Linked DNA regions of Mus musculus: all the other regions are reported to be linked to region 1. Evidence: microRNA targets listed by miRTarBase, many of them from high-throughput screens and not tested one by one. Region 1 holds a microRNA gene; each other region holds the end of a gene's coding sequence.
The links. The annotated mature microRNA mmu-miR-10a-5p reads UACCCUGUAGAUCCGAAUUUGUG and lies in region 1 at 4,519-4,541, shown strand. An mRNA with a match to its seed (bases 2 to 7 or 8) in the 3' UTR can be bound and repressed. Matches are read on the target gene's strand: a 7mer-m8 pairs with bases 2 to 8, a 7mer-A1 pairs with bases 2 to 7 and ends in A, and an 8mer does both.

Region 2: miRTarBase lists Iffo2 as a target of mmu-miR-10a-5p. Seed matches in the 3' UTR shown: 7mer-m8 at 3,189-3,195.
Region 3: miRTarBase lists Vsig10 as a target of mmu-miR-10a-5p. Seed matches in the 3' UTR shown: 7mer-m8 at 2,966-2,972.

Annotation. Positions count from the first base shown.
Region 1 is chr11:96,312,668-96,319,783 of GRCm38, forward strand. It overlaps Mir10a (microRNA 10a), which reads left to right and starts at 4,498; the gene lies at 4,498-4,607. Hoxb4 (homeobox B4) reads left to right here and starts at 5,600. Exons shown (of 2, transcript NM_010459.7): 1 at 5,600-6,556. The coding sequence starts at 6,103. It also overlaps a transcript of Hoxb3 not described here.
Region 2 is chr4:139,615,035-139,622,150 of GRCm38, forward strand. It overlaps Iffo2 (intermediate filament family orphan 2), which reads left to right. Exons shown (of 9, transcript NM_001205173.1): 8 at 1-27; 9 at 1,294-5,348. The coding sequence ends at 1,399. Among named protein-coding and RNA genes, the nearest start is that of Aldh4a1, 4.3 kb to the right of the region's middle.
Region 3 is chr5:117,351,771-117,358,886 of GRCm38, forward strand. It overlaps Vsig10 (V-set and immunoglobulin domain containing 10), which reads left to right. Exons shown (of 10, transcript NM_001033311.3): 9 at 1-21; 10 at 981-3,236. The coding sequence ends at 1,036. It overlaps Wsb2 (WD repeat and SOCS box-containing 2), which reads left to right and starts at 5,535. Exons shown (of 9, transcript NM_021539.5): 1 at 5,535-5,703. The coding sequence starts at 5,691. Gm42012 (a long non-coding RNA gene) reads right to left here and starts at 5,090. Exons shown (of 2, transcript XR_878716.2): 1 at 4,857-5,090; 2 at 3,720-4,003.

The sequences.
Region 1 (7,116 bases):
TTTAAAAAAATCCAATTACCCACACGTCCTTGCAGGACGTTTGGCAGGACCAAAAGAAGGCTTCCAAGGTGAAGGCTTGATTCTCACATCAGTCCCACCCTGCTCGCCCTAAAGGGGATAACTGCAGGCTCCTCACCCACCTGAAAGATGTCCCCTGTTTTCCCAGACCCCTAGTTCCTAGACTAGTTGCAGGAAGCTGAGTTCAAGACTTTGGGTCAGTGCTAGAGATTTTCTTTTCTTTTTTAATTCTCCATCCTTTCTTTTAAATGTCGTGCTTAAGAACTAGGGCATTGAAAAGTCGTTTGCTCTCTCATTCTCTCCCAAGCCTCCGTTTGGATGTTCATCCGGATTCCCTCTCTCCCTCTTTGGAGGAGGGAAGGGCAAGTGTGATGGAAAAATACCTAATGATCACTTGGAGATCTTTGTAAATGGAGTTGAAGCAGGCGACCTGAAATGAACCCTCAGTCTATGCATTAAGCTTAGTTCATAAGTAAAATGCTTCCTAGAGACCGTGATAATAACAAAGCATATGCCTATTTTGGTCTTTAAGTGATTATTGCATTATAAGATGCCATCACAGTCTCTTCTAAACATTCGCTATAGGAGTTGTACTGTGGGTGTTTGTCCTTCCACAGTGGAGAAAACCTGAGAGCTTTTGTAAAGATGACTTTTGAAATAAAGCCAATGAGGAAGAAAAAGGTTAATAGCAAGTTTCAAGTCAATTTAACCCCAAGGTCCTCCCACCCCAACTAAAAGGTGTTTGGAATCTTATTTTTATTTAGTTCTCAAGTGAGATTCTCTGGGGTGGGGGTGGAGTCCAGAGAGGAAGTCTTGGGGCCTGAGGAGTAGAGGCTACAGGGGCAAGGAGAGAATCTATTTTGTTTGATCTCCTCCTAAGTCTCATTTGCCTTCATCTTAGGAGAAGATAATGACAAATTAAAAAAAAATCTGTAATAGACTTGGAGTGGCCCAAAGTCCCAAGCTAAAAAAGGTTTTGGGAAGGGAAGAGTGACTTCTGCCACCCCAGACCAAACTGGCTGCCTTAGAGAGTATTTTCCCAACCCATCCATAGCAGAGGGTACCACTACCAGCGTGGAAGAAGAGTCATCTGGCTTAACTCAACCAGTCCGCTGGGGGCCAGAGAAAGGGAAAGCTATTATAGACATTGACATTGCACCAGATTTTAAAACCTTGGTCTTGGGGGGTGGGGACAGAGTGGCTGAATGAGTGAGAACTAAGGATGAGGAGTATTTTGGTTTTAGGGACAACTACAGCCTCTGAAAGCCAGGTCCTCAAGCTTCCAGCCTCAGCCTCCAGCAGTGCAATCCAGCCTATCTCCCAGGGCTCTGCTGTGGATTAATTGCTCCATCCAGAGAGGTGGGAAAGTCTGGAACTCTGGGGCCTCCAAGTTTTAGAAGTGTCCCTGTAGCTGACATTTGGGGCGACAGAGTGGACGAAGAAGTCTCAGTTGACTCAAGCCCTGCAGAGTGCAAGCATTTAGGGCGACATCAGAGAAGGAAACCGTTGACTGAGGCCTGCTTTCTAGGGTTTAGATGCCCAGTGACACACTCTCTGCCCTTCAGGTGCCAGTGCCAGCATAGTTGTTTAGTGTTCGGGCCTCCGAAGGATTCCCTCCACGGGGTCACACGGTCTTGCTCTCAGCGCTGGGCACGGGAGCTGGCAAAAATATTGGAATGATGGAAAAATCAAAGCAAAGGCGGGTCAGCTTGAATCGCATTGGAATGGAGACTTTTGGGGGTTGGGGGTTGGGTGGGGGAACAGAGAAAAGTAGAACTGGAGAGGGTAAACTGAATCAAATCCTGCTCTGTCGTTTTTCTCCCAAGTAATGACCTGCGCAAAATTCAATATGACCGAGCGAACTGCGTGAGCATATTATACTAACTGCCTGCTCGTGGGGGAGGCCCGGAGAGGGGTGAACCGCAGGTCACGGCGTCTAAAAATTATTAAAATGTTCGAGAACCTCGTGACGCGCCTGCTGTTTAACAAAGACTGCCAAAGTATGAGATTAATACGAAAACTTGCTCTTCAAAAACAAAAACACACCAAAAAAAAAAAAAAAAAAGTCCTTTTCCGGCCTCCGAGGGGGCATGTGGTTCCACTGCCCGCAGCCGCGGTTCGGTTTTCCGGATACACAATAGTGGACAGGAGCGAGCTCCGCTGTTGCTCAGCGGGCCACGGCCGGTCGGCTTGGAGCAGGCGGGGAGCGGCTGGGTGAGTACTCTTGCCGGCTCAGGCCCTTGCTATGCTCAACGCGCTTGGGGTGCCCGGACCCGCTAGAGACTGACCTCCGGTTGGCCCTCGGGTTCCTGTTCCTCTCTGTTTCCCTTCCAACTCGTCCATAAAAGGTGGATGATTTTTCTGTGCCGCCGGGGGTAGGCCTGTGATGGCGGAGAAGGGCTGGGCTGGGCAGCGAGGGGTCACACTAGCAACCTGTGGCTGCCAGGAGAAGGCAGCCAAGTGGCCTCTAAAGGATCCGGAGCACTAGAGATAGGGCAGAGAGCGTGCCCAAGCCCCTGGCTCTGCGTGTTTTCATTGTTATGGTTATTGTTGTTGGTATTCTAGACATAGAGAGGTGAGGCTGCGTGTAGCTGCAATGAAACCTGTCCTGGAGTTGCAGATAAATCCTGTCTTCCGCCCCTGGCGTCTACACAGGGAGGGAGTGTGGATGGGGGTTGCAGCTGCGCCTTGGTGGGAGGGCAGGTGGTGGCTCTCCTATTCGCAAAAGCGAAAATCTCAGTGCTCCGGCCCTAGGTTCAACCATACCCAGCTTTGCATCTCTCTATCCCTATTCCTCTCCCTTGGAGCTCAGGAAACCTGGGCCACATCCCTTGTTAAAGCATAGATCAGCAAAATGTAGACTAGCTGCTCTCTGAAACAGAGTTAGACCAGTATTCAAGAGCAGGACAGGAGATATGGGATAGGGGAGGGGCCTGGACATTGGAGTGGGTCGTGGTACTTCTAAATACCTTTTGAGAGGACTGTTCTTGCTTGATGCTTGGGTCAAAGCAGCACACTTTGTCTATGGGTGACTAAATTGAACCCCGTCTTTGATGAAGATCAAAACTACAATGTATTTTCTCTGACTCTCTCTCCAGTTAAGTATGAGTCTGGCCTATAGGAGGGCATTGGGGTTAGAAAACAAACCCAGAGGACAACATTGCCATGCCTAGATCTATGAGGTTTAACAATAACAGCAGCAGCAGCAACAACAACAACAACAACAACAACAAAGACTGAGGTCTCTGGACCCAGTTGCCTGCAGGTGGGAGCTCTCCTGCCCATTTGCAAGGGTTCCTGGTGTGTGCATGCGTGGGTTTGGCTTGTTTGTGTATGTTCATGAAATTGACTGTGTTGTAATTTACTCAGTAAGGGCAGAAGTATCCCCCAAGCCTAGGGTGTTATAGCGGTGGTGATAGTGAGAAAGACTCTGCTGGACACACTTGCCCTCACCTGGTCACAGCTCTCCCAGTTTAAACTCCAGATCCTCAATTTCTCATTTTTTCAGTTTAGAAAAGTCAAATGTTAGTGGGAGCTTCAGGAAGTTCACCCAAAAACTCCAGAATCCCATTTTGGCCACACAGCCAGCAACCCAAGCAGGTGGATGGGCCCAGTTAGTGAGCCTCTAGACAGAGGATCCTTGCCTGGGGATAAGGTGTGGGTAGGGGGGGTCCTCCTCACACCTCTAGGGGGGTGTCCCCTTATTCCAGCCTCCAGGAGGTATGGGGGGGATATGTGAGGTTGGGAGGGGCCTGCACATCATCTGGCTGCAACTTTTATGGTTCCTCATTGCCCTTCATTCGGAAATGAACTGCCTTTGATCTTCTTCTCAGGTTGTAAACGGAATTGCCCGTCATTAAATATGGGGGGGGGGGCCATCTGTTTGGTCTCCCAGCATTTTTCCTCACAGCTGTTTTTCTCTCTCTTTTTAGCATTCACTTTTTCCAAAAGGACTTTTATTACACCCCCTTCACACCCAGACACCTCTCCCTCCTCCCTTTGCTTTGGAAAATATCTATATATGTGTTTGATCACAAACTAAAGGCTGTGGGGGCAAGGGAGGAACCTATTTGGGGTTTTGTATTTTTTCTTAAAAAAAAAAAAGTCATGGGGGGAGGGGAGGGGCCGAGGGCACCCAGAAAGGCCTGATTCTGACTTCGAGGCAGCCTCGGGATGACCCTTCCTTCTTTTGTGCTTAGCTAATGTTTACATCTAATAATTCATGCGCCACCGAAAGTCGCGCGGCAGCCACGAGGTTCGAGTCCCTTTGCACAACAGCTGCCTTTTTAAAAAATCTTATTTTATTTTTTGAATAGAAAGTTGAAACCCCTTGTAATCCCAAGAACGGACCCACAGTGACTTTTCTGCTCCCAGATCTCAAAATTAAAACAAAACGAAATAAAAATGAAAACATTCAGATCACACCCAAAAGAAGAACGCACGGAAAGTAAGAGAACTGGAAATTTCCTGGGCCAAGAAGACCTGTCTGTCTTCTGTATATACCCTGTAGATCCGAATTTGTGTAAGGAATTTTGTGGTCACAAATTCGTATCTAGGGGAATATGTAGTTGACATAAACACTCCGCTCATATTCTTTCCCAGAAGAAAAATAGATTATTTTCTAAATGAGGACAATCCAGTGACTGCCTTCAAGAAGACTCCTTTTCTTTTCCTCCCTCAACCAATGAGGGAGAAATCTCATCTACCTGAGGTGTCCCCATGCACACCCCTGGAAGCTTGGGTCCTTGTTCACTCAAGAGATTAATGTTACTGGTGTTTTAAAATTTATCTTTAAGCCCCAACCTACCTATTCTTATTCTGGGTCCAGGGGGCTTTATTGGAAATCATGAGGAGGAAAAAAAGATTGCTGAAGGCTGCAGTGTGCAAAGGCAAAGGAAATTTGCTTTTTAAAAGGATGCGAAGATTGCTGTTTCGTTGAATTCAAGACAAGATGCCCTGAAAACATAAGGTTGCCATGGGTGTTCTTGTGCGTGTGATGTTGGTGGGGGCGTCACAGCTAGGGCTCCTTTACTTAGTATTCAAGGTTGTGAAATTTCTTTCTGCCACACTGACAGAGGCGGCGGCTTTAGCGGCAATTAGAACTCTTGGTTAGCATTGCTTCGACGAATCTGGAATTAGCAAATTACTATTCAATTGGTTTTAGGAACTTGCGGGTTTGGTTTGGTTTCATTGTATCTTCTGTCTTTAGTGGAGGGAGTCCAGCCGTTCCTCTGACCTTGGGCCTTGTGGGTTAAAGGGAGGGAGTGTTGAGGAGGACAGACTGACGGACACAGCCGATGCTCATAGTGCAGCTAAATGCGATTTGGAAGGCGAAGTCTCCCCGAATTAGTGCGTGAATTTCCTATCGATCTGCTCGCGGTTCCATTCATCTCTGACAAGTCCCTCTGCGCACCCGCCTTCTAGCTCCCGACGCCTCCTCACTCACCTCCTACCCCTCCCCATCTGGCTGCACTGAGAAGCCCCAAGCTCAGCGCCCCTATGACCTAGTGGGTACCCATTTCAAGAAGGCGCTCCCTGGTCGGCCAACCACTTAAAACCCCACACAGACACCTAGTGCGTGAGCTCCCTCTTATCCTGGGGAGGAGATGGGGCCCTATGGGAGTCAGAGAAAGGTTGGTGGAGATTAGGTAGGGCAGGGGTGGGGGCTACACCCGCAGCCCCAACTTCTGAGGGATGCAGGGTTTGTGCTCTGCCCAGCCCCCTCACCCCCAAACAGGCCCTCCAATTAACCTGCTCACTCTTTCTTAGTTCATCACCCCTCTCTGTTGTGGAGAAAGCCAGGCGAGGAGGGGGTCTCCCCGCGGGAGCCCTATGTAAATCCTGGTGTTGGGTGGGTGGGGAGGGGTAGAGAAGGGGAAATAAACCTCTTTGGCTGGAGTAGGGTCCGGGTGAGCAGATTTCCTTATCCGGGAATCGCAGGCCGGGTGGCCATTGGCTCGGAGGATCACGTGGGCCTCTAACTTTGTTCACTTGACAGTAAGTAGGAGGGCTTTCGGAAACAGGAAAACGAGTCAGGGGTCGGAATAAATTTTAGTATATTTTGTGGGCAATTCCCAGAAATTAATGGCTATGAGTTCCTTTTTGATCAACTCAAACTATGTCGACCCCAAGTTCCCTCCGTGCGAGGAGTATTCACAGAGCGATTACCTACCCAGCGACCACTCGCCCGGGTACTACGCCGGCGGCCAGAGGCGAGAGAGCGGCTTCCAGCCGGAGGCGGCCTTTGGGCGCCGGGCGCCGTGCACTGTGCAGCGCTACGCGGCCTGCCGAGACCCCGGGCCCCCGCCACCTCCGCCGCCCCCGCCGCCCCCGCCACCGCCCGGGCTGTCCCCTCGGGCTCCAGTGCAGCCAACAGCCGGGGCCCTCCTCCCGGAGCCCGGGCAGCGCAGCGAGGCGGTCAGCAGCAGCCCCCCGCCGCCTCCCTGCGCCCAGAACCCCCTGCATCCCAGCCCGTCCCACTCCGCGTGCAAAGAGCCCGTCGTCTACCCCTGGATGCGCAAAGTTCACGTGAGCACGGGTGAGTGCGTGGGCACCCCTTCCCCTCCCACCCCCGGCGCTTTACAGTGAAGGGACCTCCGAGGCATGTGGGGGAGGGAGCGAGGGGAAGCCAATTGTCCCCGCTATAAACTCGCCATTGCCAGAGATTTACGGTCTCCTGTTTTCAGAGCCACATAATTACATCGCCCATAAATTTTTATGGCCTAGTGGGCCCTGCGCCTTTGAAGTCATCCTCTTCTTCATTCTCCCAGCGACTTTTTCGCCAGGGATTCGCAGTCCCAGTAAAGTTGGAAGTTGGGGAGGGGTGTGGGAGGAGGGGAGGAGAAGGAAGAGGAGGAGGTAATCCCTATTTAAGCACAGAGTTGAATCAACTTCCTGGATTTCTTTTTTTTTTTTTTTTCCCCTTTCTTCCAATCTGGTACCTTGGCTGGAGAAGTAGGCAAAAGTTTTTACTAAGGGGAAGGCGCTGCTTGGAATCTGAGCAGTGAGGGTGGGAACTAAGCCGGGGAAAGGTCTAGGGCAACACCCCCTCCCACTACCCCACGCCATTGGGGTCCTCAAGCCAAAGAGTGAGATGAA
Region 2 (7,116 bases), not on the chromosome of region 1:
TCGGCTCATCAAAGGCTCTGCAGACAGGTGCGGCTGTGCGCATGCGCATAGGCATGCGCCCCAGGGCTTCCATGGTGGGTGGGGGCTTTACAGAGAGACATTCGGGGCTGCCTCGTGCAGCTTCACTACATTTTAATTTTTCCGACCCTCTGTCTGACCTCCTATCCATCCACCTCCCCCCAAGCCCCCATCACGAGCATACCTACTATGTGCTAGGTGACTAATGTATAGACAAAACAAAACAAATAATACCACCACCATCACGATCGATCGGTTCAACAGAGAGTTGTCAAAGGCCCGCTGTGTGCTAGAGCGTCTGAGTTAGTGTTCTGTTGCTGTGATGAACACTATGACGGAAAGCAGTTGGGAAGGAAAGGGCTTACTTGGCTTAGACTTCCACATCGTAGTCCGTTGTTGAGGGAAGTCAGGGAAGGAAGCTGGAACCAGGAAATGGTGCAGAGGTCATGGAGGGCAGCTGTTTACCATTTTGCTTTCCATGGCTTGCTCAGCCTGCTTTTGTATAGCATCGAGGACCACGGACCACCTGTCCAGGGGTGGCATCACCCGCAGCGGGCTGAGATCTGACGCCAATCATTAATTACGACTGAAGGCCAGTCTGATGGAGGCCTTTTCTTTTCTTTCTTTTTTCTTTTCTTTTCTGTTTTTCGAGGCAGGATTTCTCTGTATAGCCCTGACTGTCCTGGAGCTCACTTTGTAGACCAGGCTGGCCTCAGACTCAGAAATCTGCCTGCCTCTGCCTCCCAAGTGCTGGGATTAAAGGCGTGCGCCACCATGCTCGGTGGGTGGAGGCGTTTTCTTATCTGAGGTTCCTTCTTCCCAGTTACCTGGGGTTTTCAGTGGGCATCGCTTTGTTACCTGGGGTTTTCAGAGGGCACCACTTTGTGCTCAGACCAGGGATGATGGAAAGTTACAGAATGAATACCCACGACCACCCCACCCCCCACTCCCAAAGAGAAGCCACACGCTACAGTAAGCAGTGGCTAGGGTAGAGGTCCCAAGGAATGCCAAGAGCCCTAGGCAGCTTATGGAACCTACAGGGACTGGGAGAAAGTGCGCCTTGCAGGGATCTCACAGCAGGAGCCCCTCAGGGTAGCCGCCACTGTGTTGTTGCTGAGAGTGGAACCCAGAGCCTTGTGCATACTAGGCAAAAGTTTTGCTCACCCCAGACCCTTCGGGTAGGTTTTTTAACAGGTGTGACCGGCCAGAGCTCCGGGCCCTGGGCCGTTAGGGTCCCCCAGGCTGCTCTCTGAAAGGCTTTGGTTTCTAATGCAGGAATTCACCGTCCCCCAGCTCCGTGGCCAGCAGTGACTCAGGAAGTACAGACGAAATCCAGGAAGACCTGGAGCGGGAGGCGGATGTGGAGCCCATGGTCAGCTGATGACGGAGGCCCGACGCTCCTGGTGGTCTTGGTGATGGGGTCCAGCCTCCTCTCCCCACTGAGCCGTGTGGGCTCCACTCCTCGACACAGACTTCTGTCCTCCCTTCTCCGGAGGCCCAGCGGGACCGCTGCTTCCTTCCTTCCTCCACCACCGACCCATGGAATGGTGCTGTCGATTTTTCTATTGTCCCCACACACACCACAAACGCAGACTTTTGTGCGTCGATGCAGTGCAACTGTGCCTTCTCCCTTAAGCTGAGCCACTTTGAGCTCCAAAGAATTCTTCCTAGCAGGTGTTTTTTTAAATATAAAACTCTAAGGTGAGGGTGGGGCCTGGAGGCGTGGTAGCTTTTGGTTTTCTCCCTCCCACCTGCTCCTCTGATTGGACATGAGCTTTGCTCCCTCCCTCTGTCCCAAGATGACTTGCGGTGGTCTGCTTTCTCAAGGAAGTAGACTGTGTTACCTCCAGAGCTGGGCGAGGAGGAGTCGTCAATACTTTCTCACCCAGGGATAGAGTGGTGGACGGAAGTGGAGGGAGGGAAGACCAATTTTTTTCTTCTTCTTTTGGATCTAGTGGCGATGTATCGGGGAAAGGCACTGTGGGGGAAGGAAGAACCTCACTGTGTTTAAACTATGCAAAAAACAAAAACAAAAAACAAACAAACAAAAAAACCTAAAAGCAGCTTGCCTTATATCATTGGGGAAGGCAGGCCCTCTCTCAGACTTCTGGGAACTGGGAGAGAGGCCAAGGTTGGCATGAGTCCCTCATAGCCTCTGAGGTTCAGAGGTGGCTTTGGGGGTGGTCCCAGTCAGATTGCTGGTAAGGCCTGCCTGCATTCTGCAAGCCGGCCCACTGGACTGATGGTTTTCTTGGGGACCTCTGTGGGGTGGGGTGGGGTGGGTGGTGGTCTTTTATTTTCCTGATGACTTGATGTTCATTCCCGCCTCTCCAATCACCTGCCAGGTTCCATGGTTGTAATTTCTCTGTGAGAAAGTATGAACAGGCCAGGCCTGCTACCTACTCTGTCCTCCACAGTACCGTCTTGGTCCTCCGTTGTCCCTCTGGCTGGGGGGAAAAAGCCTTGTTGGGGGGGGGGGAGTGGCATGGCTGCTGGCAGGCTGGCAATGACTGGAGAGAAGCCTCAAGTGAGGACCGTCCTCATTCATACATGCTTTCCATACCCATCTGTCTGGACGCTGAGCCAGTGATTCCCCAAGGCTCCCCTGGGGCCTGAGGTAAGGGGCCATAAGATAGAGCATCCGTCTATCAGAGAGCAGCTGGCGACTTGCCTAGCAACAATCAGGTTTTGTTTTTATTTCTTTCCTTATTTTGGGGTCCACTCTAGTGGTTTTGATGGCCTATGTTGTTTTTATTGACCCAGTGGGTTCCTCTGGAGTTCAAAGGAACAAAATGTCCCCAGGGATCAGAACCCATGGCCCTCTGAGGCCTGGGTGGTAAAGGGCAGAGGACTCTGGAACCATAGTGGTACCCGAGCCTCCTCTTTATCCCTCTGTTTCTCTCTAGGTGGTTCCATTATCTGTTTTGCACTTAGAGCCAGTGTACATAGTAGGCTTATGTATGGATAGAGAGGAGAGAGGATGTGTTTGTTGGTGGCTTGTAACTTATCAGAACTTGGTGGCCTTTCTTACGTGTGTCTTCCATGATGTGGGGAGGGGTTTCCCATTGGTCCCTGTGCAGGTACTTGGAGGGACAATTGTTTGGGAAAAGACACAGCCCCTGTCCTCACTATTCTCTTCCCCTTTCTCACCAATCCTTCTTTTAAAGGTTACAGGGTTCATACACTTCTGGTTATTATTATTGTGTGTTATTGATATTATTGTTTTGGTTTTATTTTATTCTATGTTATTTTTTTAACCAAAGGTTATCAGAGCCAGATGGGCCTGGACCTTAGCTGCTGTAAAGATTTCCGTTTCTGTGAGGGCAGGAGGAGGGTTGCCCTCATGGGTCCTTGACTGAGGTTGGGGACCGTTTCCATCCAGCGGTAAAGCGGTAGAGTCTGGTAGTCAGGTGGGCAGAGCAGAAGCCAGCCCTTGATCGTTCTTCATGGAGGTGGTGGGCTGACATGTATCTCTAGCGTTAAGACAGGAAGCAACAGCGTAAACGTTTGAGGGGATGGCTGTGTACACAGCTACTGTGTAGTTGCTGGTCTCTGGTGTTATTTAACTTTCCCACCTGTATACATAGGTCATTTGTCTGGTGTGCATGAGAAAAGCAGACTCCTTTGGGTTCCCTCCTGCTGACTTTCAAAGTCTGCTTTCCCCTGGGAGGTGGAGCTCTGAGGCAGGAGGATGAGTGGAGAGGAGCAAGGGTGTGGTAGGCATGTTTCCTGGCTTGGTCTGGGCTCTGGGCCTGGCCTCCTCTTAGTGTTTGGTTTGTTCGTTTCGTAGTTCGTTGCCAGTGGGTCCTGCTTGTGCTCACTGTGAGCCCACAGCTTGCCCAGAAAGACCCCACCCCTCACTGGGGCCGCCTCTCACTGGGGCAGCGCCTGCCCTGTCTGGACGAACTTGTCCACCCGTGTAAACATGTACATATGTTCTCTTGACTTTTCTATGTCTGAGCCCCGTGTCATATTGACACGGGGGGGCTCAGGGCTTCTCAGATGGGCTCCCCGTGTTGCCCCTGGCCATGCTCCTAGTTTGGGGGTCACATACACAGGCACAGCAGGGAGACAGCATCCTTTCAGGTTCCTGGTTGGTCGTGAAACACACACACACACACACACACACACACACACACACACACACACACTCCACTAAGACTCCAAAGGAGAAAGATGGGGAAGAGGTTTTGTCTTCCCGTTGGCAGTGTGTCTGGAAGGCATGAACACTTTGGACTCTGTTTTAGGGGTAGAACTCAGATGTCCTATGAAGAGTCAAACCACTTTGACTTTAGGGTGGGAGGAGAGGGGATGGGTTAGGGGTAAGATGAGGTGTAACTTAAGCTAAATGTATTCTATTTATGAAGCAAGAGACTGTATTTTTATGAAAGGAAAAGGTTTTTAATCTAGGGTAGGCAGTCATGGTGGCCCAGCATTTTGCTGTGGATAAGATACCGCCATGTTCATTGACTCCGGTGTACAATCAACAGTAAACCCCTCTCCTCAGCTTGCCCTCCGTCCTCACTGAACGTCCGCACACAGCTGGGGCGGGAGTTTGTTGTTTCTTCTTCCCCGGCCCTCAGCTCCTTAGAAGTCTTGGAAGGGAGTGGGGAGGGAGGGTGGAATGCAGAAAACTGAGGTGGGGGAGAGGTAGGTTCTAATTAGTCACCCCATCTCCCTTCTGGCCAGACCTGCTCCCATTCAGCTGTGTGGGGAGAGTAGGAGGGAGGTTCTGTGGGGTTGGGGGACACAGGACTTCTTAGGGGCATAGGGACTTACTATGTCTGAAGTCGTCAGGCAGCTGGAGCAGGCATAGAAGGGACTCAGGACACTAAGAGCTCAGCCCTGTCTGTGTCTACTCCAGGCCAAGGTCGAGCTTGGTTGTGGATGAAGGACCAGGACTCTGTAGGGTTTCATCAGACCTGGGTCCTCCCTCTGGGACTGACCTAGTGGGAGGAGTGGAGACGGGTCTGGGCAAAGCCATACACACTCTGGGAAAAGATTTCCAGGCTCAGCGTGGACTGTGTGTGAGTCTCAGGCAAACTCCTCACCTTATGACTTCCTTCCCAAGCTCTCGAGGACATGTGAATTCCCCACCATGACACGACCCCTTTCCACACACTGTAGCATCTACCTGGTTTTTAGTCCCACCCTACCCACCGTTGCTGTGTCTGTCAGCTGGGTCTGAAAATCACCGGGAGGGGTTTGTACTCATCAAAGACTACTGACCCTACCAGAAAACCAACCTGTTTACTGTACTGTTGTAAATACTGTGCCCTTTATATCGTGTATATTGGCTTCTTTGGAATAAAGTAAAATGTCTTAGCACACATGGTTTATGCTGCTTTGTATCCTGGTGGTTGTGGGAGGGGTAAGAAGACTAAAGCAAACTTATTAACCAATCAGTGATAAGATTGGGGACTTGCCTATTTGCATCTCACAGTAAGATCTTCCAGGATGCCACGCATTGGTGGCTCACACCTTTAATCCCAGAACTCAGAAGGTAGATCTCTGTAAGTTCAAGGTCTACAAAGTGAGTTGCTGGACAGCCAGAAACCCTGTCTTGAGAAACCAAGTAACAACAAACAAACACACACCAACATAAAAAACCTCCCAGAAGGACCTAAGGCAGGGAGAATTAGACAGAAGAGGCCCCAAGAAACCCTAGGCTAATTGGCACTGCCTGGTCTAAAGTTGAGGTCCCACCAGCTACAAAGCCCCTATTTCACAGACCTCCCCAGAATGTCTACAAGAAGCACCTGCTGGACTCTGGATTTGATATTGTCCACTGTTACAGTTGCTTTTAACAAAGGGCCACATTCAAAGGTGGCCTCCCTCCACTGTGAGCTGCCATTTCCAAGGATGGAGAGAAACTGCTGCTTGGTCACATGATGTAGCTCTTTCCTAGTCCCATCTCCTAGAGTGCCTTAAATGGAGTAGTTGGCAGGAAAGGGGGAAGACCAGGGTGACGGGTGTTCAAGGTGCATAACATCATCCTATTTAACAGAAGAGGAAACCGAGGTCCACAGAGCCTGCATGGGATAGTTTTTATGTCAGCTTGACAGAAGCTGGTGGCATCTGAAAGAAGGGGACAAAAAATTTTAAGAATATGCCTCCAAGGCTGGAGAGATGGCTCAGCAGTTAAGAGCACGGTCTGCTCTTCCAGAGGTCCTGAGTTCAAATCTCAGCAACCACATGGTGGCTCACAACCATCTATAATGGTTTCTGATGCCCTCTTCTGGTGTATCTGAAGAGAAACAAGTATTATACTTACATATAATAAATAAGTAAATCTTTTCTAAAAAAAAGAAAAAGGAAAAAAAAAGAAAATGTCTCCAAAAGATCAGCCTGTGGGCAAGCCTGTAGGGCATTTCCTTTTCTTTCTTTTTCTGTTTTATTAATTAGTTAATTAATTATTACATTATTGTTAGTATTAGTATTATTATCATTTTAGTTATTTGAGACAAGGTTTCTCTGTATAGACTGGAACTCACTCTGTAGACCAGGCTAGCCTCAAACTCAGAGATCTGTCTGCATCTACCTCCTAAGTGCTAGATGTAAAGGTATGCACTACCACTGCACAGCTACTTGGGCAAAAAAAATTCTTAATTTGTGATTGATGTGGGAGGGCCCAGCCTATTCTAGGTAGTCCAACCCCTGGACTGGCGGTCCACCTGTAAGGCTGAGCAAGCCAGTAAGCAGCGTCCCTCCACGGCTTCTGCATCAGCTCCTGCCTCCAGGTTCCTGCCTCAGTGATGAGCTGAAAATTTGCACACGTAAACCTTTAACTCCCCACTTGCTTTTTGGTCATGGTGTTTTGAGGCGAATCTGCCCAGTGTGGTATCAAATTAGAACCAGAGGGACCCCAAAGTAAATGCCCTGGTTACATTGTCAAAGACAGAGAAACACGTTGAAGCAGGACTGTGGTGGTGCAGGCCTTTAATCCCAGCACTCTGGAGGCAGACCTGCGGGTGGATCTCTGTAAATTCAGGGCCTGGTCTATAGAGCCAGTTCCAGGATAGCCAAGGCTACACAGAGAAACCCTGTCTGAAAAAGTAAAACCAAGCCAAAAAAAAAAAATTAAAAAAATTAAACAAA
Region 3 (7,116 bases), not on the chromosome of region 1:
ATGGATTCCAGGAGTTTCAGGGTAAGCTTGCCTCCCTTCCAGACCCTCAAATCTGTATAGAGTTTCCTGGAGGGTGTTTCTAATAAATAGGGGCAGTTTCTTAAAGCCTAGGCAAATTAGCTGGCTCAAGTCTAGTCTAGAACCCAAGACTCCATGCTAAGTTGAGTGCTCCATTCCGAAATAAACAAAATGTAAAACATTTAAGTGTCAGCATATGCCGCAAGACTGACGCTGCAACATACTTTGTTTCATGCATGAGGTTATTTAAAATGTTGTATAAATGGAGCTGGCCAGATGGCTAAATAGATAAAGATTCTTGCTTCCAAGCCTGGTGACCTGAATTCAGTCCCTGGTGGAAGGAGTGACGTTGCTCCCCAAAGTTGTTCTCTGATTTCCACTTGCCCCCACTACATAAGCAAACAATAAAATGAAATATTTTATACAATCACCTACAAGTGAGACCTGCTTAAGGGAACTCTGAAATATTCATAGAGCTCATGTTTGTTTAGATTTGGGTCCCACCTCATGGACTGTCATTCTGTAGATGCAAATTACCCATAGTCTAAAGTCCATATCACCCAGGCATTTGGGTAAGACAATCAATACGCATAAAACTAGCAGCACAGAGAAGAAGTTATCCAACAAAGTCTATGGGGGAAGACGCAGTACAGGGATTGTTGAATTAGGAAAAGAAAGTCCTGTATCATCTGTGAATGCCTAGGCAGCCTCCTTGCTTCCTTGGGAAGTGGAAGCGGGAGGATCAGAAGTTGAGTTATCCTCAGCTACATAGTGAGTTTGGGGCCAGCCTGGGCTACATGAGACCCTGTCTCAAAACAAAAAGAAGATTGTTGTACTCCCTGCCCTACCTCCTTTATGAACTCCAGTTCTTGGGGCTCACAAGTCACCAAGATGACAGGAGACAGAAGGTTAACACTTCCCCTGCCGGTGAGATCACTCAGTTCCATCTCTTGCACCGACAGATGACAGTGATGGGCAGCAGAGTGGCATTGTTCAAGAGGATGGCAAGCCAGTTTGATGAAGAGGACGATTCACTGTTGGTGCTGTCTTGCCCCCCATCTCACCGTGCTGCCCTGGGGAGCTTGTGTTAGGGACTGCTGGGGTCTCTGCAGCACAGGCACAGCATCTCTTCTTCCGTCTGTCATCTCCCACTGACTTCATTTGGTGTGGGTTCACCTCAGCAGTGTGAAGTGCACTGAGAAGGAGCAGCCGGTGTGGGGCAAAGCTGCAGTGGCCGTAGTGGAGTCTGAGGGGCCCACTTGGCTGTGATACTGACTCTACCCAGGTGATGTACTGTGACAGACACTGATTGGGGACTGGGGTGGGGTGGGGCACTTGGTACCTGTGCACTGTGCCATTAGTCAAGGTTTGTAGACAGCTTACCCAACACGAATATGGACATGAGGAACCTTCCTGGCAGAGGGGAGGGGTCAGCTACCAAAAGGCAGTTGGATTTGGGCCCAAGGCTTGAATTCTTTTATTGTTTTGCGTCTGTTTTCCTATCAAGAACACCCCTGAAACAGTACCTACTTTCCAGGCTCCTGAGAGATGGAGGAGGTAGTTCGGGGTGTAGGAGTGCCTAGGGAGGGGTTCCACAGAGCTACTGCAGGGGCCATCATTATAGACTCTCAGCTCCGCCCACCCCAACTATGCTTTTTCCCCTAGAGAGGATTGCACCTCTCCTCTCCTTCACGGTGTACAGGCAGAGCTGCATCTGGTTATGAAAGCCTAAGTGACGAACCTAAGGCTTCTCTTTCCTCATGTCTCCTGTGCTAACAGAGCATCACCTGATAACGAACTGGACACACGGTCCATTTGGACTTAGTGTCTGTGTTCTGGAAATGGGAGTATATGTTTCCATCCTACTTACTGGGCCAGTAAGTTTCAAAAGAAAATAGTGGGTGATGACTTTAGCTTGGGACAGCTGGGTTCTGGGGATTTTTATTTTATTTTATTTTTTTAAAATTTCATCTAAACATTCTGAAGTCAGGGATCTTCTAAGGGTGCAGTAGGTCTGTACTAACCATGAAAATCTGACTTGAAATTTGCACTCTGTACTTGGGTACATCTCTTGGGCACATCCTGCTCAGACAGGACAAGATCTAAGGCTTTAAGGACTTCCTAACACTGGGGCCGGAGGTTTCCTGTGGAGCTGGTTAACAGAAGTACCTGCACGATGTGGGAGAGGTTGTCTGGTCTCTCTGAATGCAGGGGCTAAAGTGAAGAAACCGCTCCCCTTGTGGCCCACCCTGAGGTCAGGGTGTGGAGGAGTCCACCTGGCTGTGAATTGGGAGCCCTTGGGGATGGCTATGACCTGTTCTCTTGCTTAGTGGTGCCTCAGGCACTCTGTCATTTCGTGGTGGGATACTCAGGTTGCCTTCAGTCCTTCGAGCTGGTCTTTCCTTTGAAGCCTGATGACAAGAGTTCCTGAGTTTGTCTGCAACTCAGAGGCAACTTTAAAAGAGAAGTTAGAGGGGAAGCGGCTATCTGGGAACATGGTGAATGTTTGGTGAGATCACTCGGTGCTTCCCGTAACTTCCTCTTATGTGCACACCTGGCGGTAGGAAATACTTGAGGGTTTTTTCCACTAGCAAATGAGAGCTTCAAGGGCTTGGTGCCGACCGCTGTTCTCAAGCCCTGGCCAGTTACCACTGTCTATTTTATCAGCCTGTGTGCACATTTATAAAGGGGCAGTTCAGTTTGGAGCCCAGGCACCAAGGGCTTTGTTTTAAGGCTTTGTTAAAAACTGGAGCCCACATCCCTTCTTTCCGTTGATGCCATCCATACCCAGATCTCAAGGCATATGTGTTAAATGCCAAAGTACAATTTGTGCATTGGTCTTTAAAAAAATAATTCTTATCTGCATGTATTAGTTAACTGATGAACTCCACTTGTTAGAACTGGGAAGAAAACCACTTCATGGTTGTTGTTTTTTTGTTTTTCCGAGACAGGGTTTCTCTGTGTAGCCCTGGCTGACCTGGAACTCACTCTGTAGACCAGGCTGGCCTCAAACTCAAAAGATATAGAAGGTATCCTCCTCACTGGGTACAGCAATCAAACTTCTCACCACAGAACTGGCTACCAGCTACTGCAAAGAAAAACTGCAGATGGGTCAACGTGGTTGACCTTACCATTTCGTAGGAAAAAAATTGGGAGAAATTAGTTCTAAGGTTATACATTTTTAAGACTTTGGAATAAAGTTACTTTTTAAAAAACATACATTTCTATGGTCTTGATTTATGCCTCCCCAGTGGGTGTAAAGAGTGGGGGTTCAGACTCATGCCTGTAATCCCTGCACTTGGGAAGCTGAGGCAGGACTGTGTGGGATTGACTGAGTGCAGCCCAGGCTACAGAAAGAGACCTTGTCTAAAGAAACATCAGCGCTAACTAGCTAGCTAGCCAGCCAGGTGACTCAACCTGTAAAGGTATTTATTTCCAAGCCTAAATTCAATCTCTGGAACCCACATGGTAGGTGAGAACATATTCCCACAAGTTGTGCCCTGGTGTCCACATACATGCCACGGGATCTCTCAACTAGCTGCGCTCGCGCGCGCACACACACACACACACACACAAACAGAAGATACGTAAACGGGCATTTAAAGAGCCATTTGGAAGAAAAGAGCTGTAAAGGTGGTTTTCTTTTGTCCCCGTTACCACTTGACTTGTGCACGCTGAATGCCTAAGTACAGTAAAGGACGTAGCTCACCAATAGAGTGTTTATTTAACTATGCATGGGTTCAGTCTCCAGTGCCTTAAAATAGAAACAAACCAAACCATTAAAAATGAGACCCTAAAGACAGCAGGAAATGGCATTTGGGAAATGAAGCACAGGAAGGAGGAGCTGGAGGGATGGATGGCTCGGTGATAGCGCTGGCAGCTCTGCAGAGGACTGAGCTCAATTTCCATTGCCCACAGGACCGCTCACATCATTTGTCCATCAGTTCCAGGGAATCCCATGTCCTCTTCTGTTTTCTTTGGAGACCTGGAAAGTATGTGCAGGCAAAACCACCCCTCCCACACAAGTATGCACACATGTATACACACACACACACACATGTACACACACACCCCTAGTGGTGACATACTAGGGACAATACCGTTGGCCTCCACAATATATTCACAAAGAACACTGATGAGAAAATGGTAGAGATGGGGGAAACATGACACGTTAAAAAGAACTGGGAAATAGTGGAAAGTTAAGTCTGGAGAATAGAATTGGGATCTAAGGCGATCAGGAAGGACATCAGAAATAAAACGGGAACCCCGGGGCTGAGTAAGGGTGAGGAACAAGCCATTAAAAAAAAATGCCTTTAGATATCGAGTGTGTTAAGGGAGGCTGTTAAGTAAGAATGAAGAACGAGAAAGGGGACAGGGAGGTAGAAAACGTGTGTGTGTGTGTGTGTGTGTGTGTGTCCTCAAAACAGACAACTGATAAACCGCGGGTATCTTCTAGGAGACCTGAGAACTGGGTCATGAATAGTGTGCCTGGACTAAACGCTAAGTGGAAGAGAGACGCATACAAAGCAAGAATGTAGAAGCAAGGTTCCTACCGTTCCAGCTCAAAAAACATGGGAGAGCAGACTTAAACCCATCACTTTTCCTTCCCTGGCTCCACATTACAAAGAGATCTATGACTCAAAAGGGAAGGAAATGGGGACATTGAACTTGGAGAAAAAAAAGTCCAGGCTGGAAACAGGAAAAGGGACTGGAGCGACCTTGAGTGTGGGTGGTGGGTGGGGTGGTGACAGGACACTACCAGGGGATTACAGAGCCCATGAGAAAGTCCAAAGCCAAGGAACAACTACAGGAACTACTTAAAACCCCTTTTCTCCTACCCTGGCTCCAAGTTAAATCCACCCGACACAAACAGGACCAGGACCCGAGGCACTAGCATCTGAGGACACGAAGAGGGAAATCTCGGGGTGTGTGGGGGTTAACCTTGACCTCCTCTCCCCTTAGTTCCTCCCCCTTGGCTTTCCCAGCATCCCTCCCGCTGGGGCCGTTGTCAAGGCCAGCATTTCAGCTCCCGCTGGGATCCCCAGTTCCCTGCCCCCCAGCCAGCATCATGACCCGGGCAGCTTCCCTGAGCCTCGAGCGAGCGAGCAGTCCCTTAGGTTTCTCCACGACACCCCCAGCCCTTGCCCGCCCCACCCCCATCTCTACTCGCTCCAATTTTAGGTTTCCACTTTGGATGCTCTCGGAGACCCCCAACCCCATCCTGCCCGGGGCTCCCCTGCCCCCTTCTCTGTCTGCTCTGCCCAGTGTTCCCCCCCACCTCGGGTCCCCTTAGCCCCGCTTCCTCCGGGCTCCGCGTCCCTTTAGTCCGGCGTTCCCTCCCCCCCCCCGCTCCCCGCCCCCCGCCTCCCGCCTCCGTCCCCACAGCTCGGCGTCCCCCTCGAAGCTCCGCGTCCCGCGCCCGCCGCCCACTCCGCCTCCGCCCCCGCATCCCCAGCGTTTCCCCTGCGAGCTCTCCGCCCCGGCCCCGGCCCCGCCCCCGCCGGCCGCCATGTGACGGGAAGCAGCTGATGGCCTCTGCGGGCGGCAGCGGCGGCGGCATTGGCGGCGGTGGTGGCGGCGGCGGGCGCGGCCGCGGCGGGGCGGGCGCGGAATGAAGGCCCACGGCCCTGGGGGCTGAGGCGCCCGCCGCCTGGGGCGGGCCGCGCGTCCTCATGGAGGCCGGAGGTGAGTGCGGCCGCGGCGGGGCGGCGACCGAGGCGGGGAGGGCAGCTTTGTTTCACTTTCGCTGTCAGCTGCGGCAGCCGGCCTCCTGCCACCGCGGGGACCGGCCGCCGTCCCTGAGCGAGCCCACTGGACTGGGATGGCTCCAGAGTCCCCGGGTCGCCTGCGCCATGGCCGGGCTTCTGGCCTCAGCGCCCATCGCGGCTCGGTAGTAGCTGCGGCCGCTGGGTGGGTGCCTGGGAACGGGGTGGGGCCCCGGACACTGCCCCGGGGTGACACGTAGGTCCCGACACCCTAGTGGGTGAGGTCCACAGCTGTCACCACGAAAGCTCAAAGTGAGAGCACGGGATGAACTTGCTGGCCGCCTGGAAAAGCGCAGAGATGCTAGGGATGGCTAGACCTGCAGCCCCTCGGGGCTTCTCCCTGGAGGGCTCTTGTCCCAGCGTCCTGATCACGGAATAGTAGCGTGGGTTGGGGACCTGGGGGAGGGGGCTGTCGCCACACTCCAGGGTCCCCAAATACCGGAGCTGAAAGACAGATTCCGTAGGGGGATTTTAAGAGTCAAGGCCTAGGGCTCAGACTTGTTCCGGTGAAGTTGAAGCTTCACCCAGGTCTGGAGGACTCGGATGCACCAGAGGGCTGGCAGGGCCGGATGGGGTTGTTGGAAAGGCAGGTGTTCCCTGGGGTGGTGTCCCCTTTGCATTTAGGAAATGACATTTCTTTGTTTGCAGGAGCCAGGCTTTCAGGGAAAGGTGTCGCGGCAGCTCCTCTCCCGGGTTTCCATCTAGATTAAAACCTTTCAGTATCTTCCCTATAGAATTCTGTTTAAATGGCCCCTACTGTTTTCTTCTGTGACTCTTTTTATAGCTTCCGTTTTCGTTTCCATTGATGCCTCAAAGTTGTATCTCAAAGCAATCTGTGACCAGACCACCTCCCCCCCCCCACACACACACTTTTTTTTTAAACCGGAATCTTTTCCAGTGCAGAGTTTTTCCCTAGTGATTGACGTCTGTGTGGTAGGCGGTGGGCAGAGCTGTTGGGAGCTACCAAGCTACTGTTAAAAAGGCCAGACACTAGGCCAGAGTTTTACTCTCTTTTCAAACTGAATAATGTCTATTGTAAAAGGATTACAGTAGAAAACAGTAGAACGGTGGTTACAATTAATTTATTCATTCAACAAATATTTATTATCTGGTATGTGCCGGGCACCCTCTGGGTCCTTGCTGGCCCAGAGTAATATAATAGCAATATGTAATTTAAACGTAGACACATTAAAAAAAGGCAACAGTTGAAATTAAAAAGGATAACGTATCTAAAATATTTCAAGTTTAATTTATGCCATGAAACAAAAATTATAGGAATGTTTTGGAGACGGAAGAATTTTTCTGTGTGGGCGTTTTAACTGCCAGTTTGTCT